2 linked regions of the Macaca mulatta genome follow. The protein of the gene in region 1 interacts with the protein of each later gene in a pairwise test. Links are inferred from orthologs where the notes say so. Each region holds a gene or a part of one and is shown in the gene's direction. Other genes may lie near its edges.

Evidence for each region.
Region 2: the proteins of UBQLN4 (region 1) and PRPF40A interact in a two-hybrid assay, tested with the Homo sapiens proteins (2 studies listed by BioGRID and IntAct). The link is inferred for Macaca mulatta from reciprocal best matches to the Homo sapiens genes UBQLN4 and PRPF40A.

The regions. Positions count from the first base shown.
Region 1 is NC_133406.1:110,886,197-110,889,849, forward strand, and holds part of UBQLN4 (ubiquilin-4), read left to right. Parts: intron 1-255; coding exon 256-518; intron 519-2,128; coding exon 2,129-2,287; intron 2,288-3,653. UniProt on the Homo sapiens protein: Regulator of protein degradation that mediates the proteasomal targeting of misfolded, mislocalized or accumulated proteins.
Region 2 is NC_133417.1:57,579,088-57,582,740, reverse strand, and holds part of PRPF40A (pre-mRNA-processing factor 40 homolog A), read left to right. Parts: coding exon 1-7; intron 8-953; coding exon 954-1,087; intron 1,088-3,653.

The DNA.
Region 1 (3,653 bases):
TTCAACAGACCATTGCTGGTTGCCTTCTCTCTGCTCAGTTCTATGTTTGGTGCAGCCTCAGCCTTCAGAGAGGCCTCAGTCTAGTAGGCTCACATTTTTTTGCCAGCAGTGGATCAGGGCTGGGCTGTGGGAATGATTGGAAGAGGAACATGTGAGAAGCATTTGGGGCCTGTCCTGGAGATCCAAATTCAGTGGCTCTGGCTAAGTGAGGACAGGGATCTTGTGGCAGACTGTGACCCTGCCCCCCTCCCACAGCTGGCTTTGGGGGCATCCTGGGGCTGGGCAGCCTGGGCCTGGGCTCTGCCAACTTCATGGAGCTGCAGCAGCAGATGCAGAGGCAGCTGATGTCCAATCCTGAGATGCTGTCGCAGATCATGGAGAACCCCCTGGTCCAGGATATGATGTCTAACCCTGACCTGATGCGTCACATGATCATGGCCAACCCCCAGATGCAGCAGCTGATGGAGCGGAACCCTGAGATCAGCCACATGCTCAACAACCCTGAACTCATGAGGCAGGTGAGTATGAGAGGGCTAGAGAGCTGGAGGACGCTGGTGCCCAGCCATGCCCTGCCCAGCCTTTCCATACATTGATTTGTTCATTCATGTATTCAGCAGTTTTGAACACTGGAGGTACAGGGATGAAAAGACAGGCCTAGCTCTTCAGGAATTCCAGGTGTCAAAGGGAAGTGGGACAAGTAAACCAGCAATTAGAATACAATGTGGTCAGTGCTATCATAAGGATAATCAGGGAATCCTCTAGGGGCATAGAGAAGAGCTCCTGGCCCTACCCTGAGGCTTAGAGGAGGCCTTAAGAGATGTCACCAAGCTGAGACCCAAAGGAGGAAGACGAACCGGGGGAAAAAAGAGAAGAGCATTCAGGGCCAAGGGACAGCAAATATAAAGGCCTGGGAGTGAAAGATAGTAGGTTGTTTGGGGAGCACTGTGGCTGGGCAGGGCCCAGTTGGGAAGGGAGACTGTTGTGATGTTGCTCTTTGGGAGTTCCAGCTCATGGTCCACTCTACCAGAGGATCAGAGTAGACGATCTTCCCAGCAGGGCTGTGGACACCAGTGTTGGACTCACCAGAAGATAACTTATGTAAGGTCAAGGACTTGTGAGTGTTTTGTTCACTGTCTAGAACAGTGCCTGGTGCATAGTAGTCACGCAGTAAATTTTTATTGAATGAATGAATTACAGGACAAGAGATCAGAGTTCTAGGAAGCTGGGCATATCAGTTATAAAGGTGTCTTAGAAAAGGCAAGTGTGGAGCAGATTTGGGAAGGAGAGGAAATGTATTCCAAGTTGAATGCGAACAAGTAGTTACACTCATTTTTCTGTGATGAACTCCCCTGGGGTTGACATAGCCACCCCTTATTGAGATTGTGCCATTGACTCCATAGAAGAAAGCCCCCATCCTCAGTGTTTCTCAAGGTTCAGGCAGGCCAAAGACTTGGAGGTGGGAATTAGAGGGTGTCAGTAGCTTTATTCCAGCCTGAATCCTTTCCTTCCCCAACTTGCAGTCATTTACCAGGAATCACAGTATGGTCTTGGACAGACCGACCAACCTGGCTTTGAACACTGTCTTCACCACTCAGTGACTGTGTGTCCCAGGGCAGCAAGTCAGTTAACATCTCTGAGCCTGTTTGCTCATCTGCAAAATAGGGACAGAAATAACCACCTGAGATGGTTATTGTGGAGATTATATGACTTGAATTCTGTAAACTACTTGGCCCTGTGCCCATATACAGTAGGTGCTCAGTAGATGTTAATTTTCTCTTCTGCTTCCTTCCCTTTCTTTCTGTGTCCCTTCTGACTCAGTTTCCTTGTGCATCCTGACACTTCTTTGGACACTCTGAGCCTAAGGGAGGGAAGCTGCTGCCCTCACTTCAGCTGGGATCATTGTCCTCCGCTAGAAAAAGCCAACCAAAATACCCACAGGGAGGCAGGCCTGGAGCCAAGATTACAGTAGAGGAAGGAAGTCCAGTTTATTCTACTTTCTGTCACTGTGGGGCAGTTCCTGGGCCCTGGTCCTGATCCTGACACAGACCCACTTCCTCAAGGCCCACCCTTTTCCTAGGTTGGTGCTCCCCTGGTTCTGGGGCCCATCTTGTCTCTCTCCCTTGATCAGACAATGGAGCTTGCTCGGAATCCAGCCATGATGCAAGAAATGATGCGGAACCAGGATCGGGCCCTGAGCAACCTTGAGAGCATCCCTGGAGGATATAATGCCCTCCGCCGCATGTACACGGACATCCAGGAGCCCATGTTCAGTGCTGCCCGGGAACAGGTGGGATCAAGGGCCAGGGTAGTGGGTCGGGCTGTCTGGGCTCAATATTCCCTACCCCTACCCCAGGCAAACCTGGGTCTGCTCTTCTTTCTTTCCCCAGTTCCCTGAGGGGTGGGCCTTGGCTTGAAGGCAGTTCTCAACAGTGCATATCCGGGGATGGTCCAATTTGGCATGGACAAAAGATAAGCAGAGGTCCTTGTGGAAGTGGGTGAGGCATAGCATCCATCCAAGGAACTTGACATCCTTCTGACAAACTTCTTGTACCAGGGGCTCAAAGGCCAGGTGGCAGGCCTGAAGTCAGACGCCAGCCCTGATACAACATGTCTCAAGTATGGTCCATGGATCACCTGCAGCAGAATCACCTGGGGAGCTTGTTGATAATGAGAATCCTGGTCCCCACCTTTGAGCTGCTTATTGAATCCATTTCTAGGGTTGGGTCCCAGGATTATACATTTTTAAAAATGCTTTATGAATCCTATTCAAGTACATACACACACAAAAATAGATAAAAATATAGCATTCTTTTTTTAACAATCAGTGTTGCCCTAACATGTTGCCATATATAATTTCAGGGCCCTTTGGTTTTTTTTTTTTTTTTTTTTTTTTTTTGAGACGGAGTCTTGCTCTGTTGCCCAGGCTGGAATGCAGTGGCACAATCTCAGCTCACTGTAACCTCTGCTTCCCGGGTTCAAGCAATTCTGCCTCAGCCTCCCTGGTAACTAGGACTACAGGTACATGCCACCACGCCCAGCTAACTTTTTGTGTTTTTAGTAGAGATGGGGTTTCACCGTGTTAGCCAGGGTGGTCTCGATCCCCTGACCTCGTGATCCGCCCACCTCGGCCTCCCAAAGTGCTGAGATTACAGGCATGAGCCACAGCGCCTGGCCATGGTTCTTTTTAAAAATTTAATTTTACATGAAACACATTCTATGTTTGTATGTTTGAAAATTCAAAAGTTGGCCGGGTGCGGTGGCTCACGCCTGTAATCCCAGCACTTTGGGAGGCCGACGGCGGATCACGTAGTCAGGAGATCAAGACCATCCTGGCTAACACAGTGAAACCCCGTCTCTACTAAAAATACAAAAAATTAGCTGGGCATGATGGTACGCGCTTGTAGTCTCAGCTACTTGAGAGGCTGTGGCAGGAGAATTGCTTGAACCCGGGAGGCAGAGGTTGCAGTGAGCTAAGATCGCGCCACTGCACTCCAGTCTGGGCGACAGAGCGAGACTCCGTCTCAAAAAGAAAATTTGAAAGTTACACAAAGTAAACAAAACAGTATTCTTAAAAAGCATGGAAAAGTATATAGGCCAAAAAAAGGTTTACAGAAGGGATCCCTCTGTTTCCATCTCCCAGCCAGCTCTTTTCT
Region 2 (3,653 bases), on another chromosome or scaffold:
TTACAAAGTAAGAATAATGGCTAAGAGAAATAGTTTTAAATAGTGTCCTCCAGCAGCGAAGAATTATTTTCACTTTTTATATGAGATAACTAACTGAATTTTATGCAGTTGTTGGTTCATTTCTGAAAAAGTGTTTTATTTATTTCCGAATAGGATATTTCTTTCTGATTGAGTTTGTGATTCATGACAAAATGTTTTTTCAAATTTAAAGTAGCTTTATCAGGTAATACTTGAAATATTTAAATTATAGGTCAAATTTGAAATCATGCTTAGCCATTTGTATGTAACTTGGTAAGAACTAAATGAATTACCGCATTTTACTCGTGTTTTTTTGTGGTAATAACATTACAGATTTGTAAAAAAAAGAAAATGTATTAGAATTATCTTACATTAGGCTTCCCTAAGTATTCTTTCTGAGTTAACCAATTGCTTTTTAAATTATAGCTTTCTCAGCTACCTCTCTAAAAGTCATGCTTCAGTAGATTTTTTTTATAGGGTGCACAGTTCTATACTAAGCTCTTGGAATAATTATGATATTGCAAACAGATTTTATCATAACACTTTTATTTTCATTAGTTTTGCCATATGCACGTCCTTTGTTTTATCCTATGACATGTTTCAGAGTGCCTTTTATTGAGTTCTTTGTGAAATTTTCCTTAAAACTTTCCTATGCAGATGATTACAAATCATATTGAGTTTAAATACAAGTTTGTTTGTTTGTTTGTTTAGAGACGGGGTCTTGCTGTGTTGCCTAGGCTAGTCTTGAACTCCTGGGCTCAAGCAGTCCTCCCACCTCAGCCTTCCAAAGTGTTGAGATTACAGGCATGAGCCACCTCACCCTAGCCTAGCTAAAAGTATTTTTGACAGGTGATTTTGAAATTTTGGGGGATCTAATGCAAATAAACTACTTGTTGACATTTGACACTTTAAATTTTAACTGGCAAATACTTTAGATATGGACAAAGAAGATGCATTAATTTGCTTTGAAGAACACATTCGGGCTTTAGAAAAGGAGGAAGAAGAAGAAAAACAGAAGAGTTTGCTAAGAGAAAGGAGACGACAGCGAAAAAATAGGGAATCTTTCCAGGTAAAAGAAAAAGCTCTTTTCTAGCTTAGTTTTATATTATACTTACAGAACTTGAACAGTAATATAAAGAATTTTGAGACAACTGTTCCCAGATCATAGACTTAGGCTTTGTGAGGACTTATACACATTTAACTCTTTAAGTTCTACAGATGAACATTGATAAATGAGGTTTCGGTTGGGGAAAACAACAGGAGAGATGACTGGAAACAAGATATGTGTGGTGAGTCAGTAGTAGATGATACTTAGTTTCTAGAGGACAAAGGGACTGCTAGGGTATAGTTTGGGGATGGGCCATAATTTCTTAAACACTAAAAAAAGGACCTGGGATTGCATGTTTTTCAGCTAGTAGTTTATTTTCATCTTAAAGTATCATTTTTATTTTCAGAGATAGAAAATATCATGGAGCAATGAATTTTTTGCATTTCATATCTCACCCATTTCAATAATAATTGTAATAGCTAATGTTCTTTGATTGCTTACTGTCAATACAATTTATGTTTACAATCTCAATTTTTATGACAGTCTTATCTTATAAGGGTTCTTACTGTTTTTGTTACATAAGTTTATATAACTAAGGAAATGAAGAGGTGAAGTGACTTGCCCAAGTTCAACAGTTGCTGAATAGTGAAGCCAGAATTTGAATCCATGCAGTTTTGATTACAGAGTCTCTTCCATTAACCATTGTATTAGGGTGAATGCTAGGTTACAATGGCTTGAATTTTAAGTTTTTTTCTTGAAATAACAGTCTTTTTGGTCTAGGGCAGGGCATATTGCCATCCCCTAAGGCAGAGGTTCTCAAAATTCAGTGTGTATTAGAATGACGTAGAGGACTTTTTAAAAATTTCTTCTGGCTGGGCACAGTGGCTCATGCCCATAATCCCAGCACTTTGGGAGGCTGAGGCTGGCAATTGCTTGAGTCCAGAAGTTCAAGACCAGCCTGGGCAACATGATGAAACCCGCTCCCTACTAAAAATACAAAAATAATAATAATAATTAGCTGGGTGTGGTGGTGCACGCCTGTAGCCCCAGCTACTCAGGAGGCTGAGATGGGAGAACCTGAGCCCAGGAGGTCAAGACTGCAGTGAGCTGTGATGGCGCCATTGCACTCTAGACTGTGCGAAAGAGCGAGATCCTGTCTCAAAAAAAAAAGAAAAATTATTCCCACTATGCCAAAGGTTACTAACCATCTTAAACGCCACAGCCAGTAGAATGATTTCGGTCCTTATTCAATGAAAACCTAACATTTACTACTCTTGATGGGTTCCTTTATCTTAGTGACTTCCTAGACTATCATATTCTACAATGGTTAAAAACACAAATTGTTTGGCCTTACCTGAAGAATTTGAATTAGTAAGTCTGGGTTGTAGTCTGAAAATTTACATTTCTAAATTTCCAGGTGGTATCGATACTGTTGGACCATACTTTGAGAAGCATTGCCCTAGCGTGTTAACCTTCTCTGCAGAGTTAGGGGTATGCTGCCCCCATTTCACATTTTAACTTGGAAAAAGTCGAAAGAACAGTTCTTTTTTAAAGCTAATGATTTAGAAGTTCTGCTCACCTCCTTCATTTGGGTTCAGTTGCTGAGAATTTAGTCACATGGCCACAACTAGCTACACAAAGGAGGCTAGAAAACTTAGCTTTTAGCTAAGCAGCCATGTGCCCAGGAAGAAGGGGAGGACAGATATTTAGGAGGGCTATTATACACTCTTCCACAACCTAAGCTTTAACGTCTCTGGTGAAGGTTTTGCAGTGGTTTAAAATAAGGAGACATGTGAAAAAATAATAATACAGTGAAAATAAGATGGAAATCTGGGTCATAGAAAATATGAGACTATAACGTAAACAATACTGAAGGTGGAGACTATGAGGCGAAATTTTGATGTAAAGTCTGCACGGTTCCGCAAATAAGCCTAAATGTGGCTTTGAATCAGATTGCTATGTGTCTAGCATAGTTTCTGATTACTACTAATAAAATTGGTGTTAAGTATGTTATATTAATATTCTTTCAGATATTCAGCCTGGTAATTTTCCTGTTCTGCTACTTCAAAAGATTTATTTAAGACTTTAGTGAAATGAATTAAAAGAGAAGATTGGCATTAGACAATAAAATATAATTAATGGAGAGCATCTCAGTACTTATGGTTATGATGATGACTATTTTTATTTAGTGTTCATTTGCTAATCAGAAAATTCATCACGTCTATGACGAGGAAACTATGACTTTGTTTTTCTTATGTCTTAAAACTGGTATTTGAAGTCAATGTCGTCTGGAAAGGATTGATCTGAGGCTTTCAAGGAGAACCAGAGGAATGTATAGTGTCTCAGAAGCCAAGAGTTTGGAGTTTTAAGATAAAGCATGATCCCCAGATGCACAGAATCAGTATCACCTGGGAAATTATGAAAATGTATATTCTGAAACCTGGGAAATTATGAAAATACATATTCTGAAACCCCACGTCAGACTTAAAGAATCAGATTCTGGAAATGGGACCTAACAATCTGATTTTTTTAAACAGTCCTTCAAATAAGTCTTTGAGAAACCCCTGAGGTAAAGGAATCCATCTAA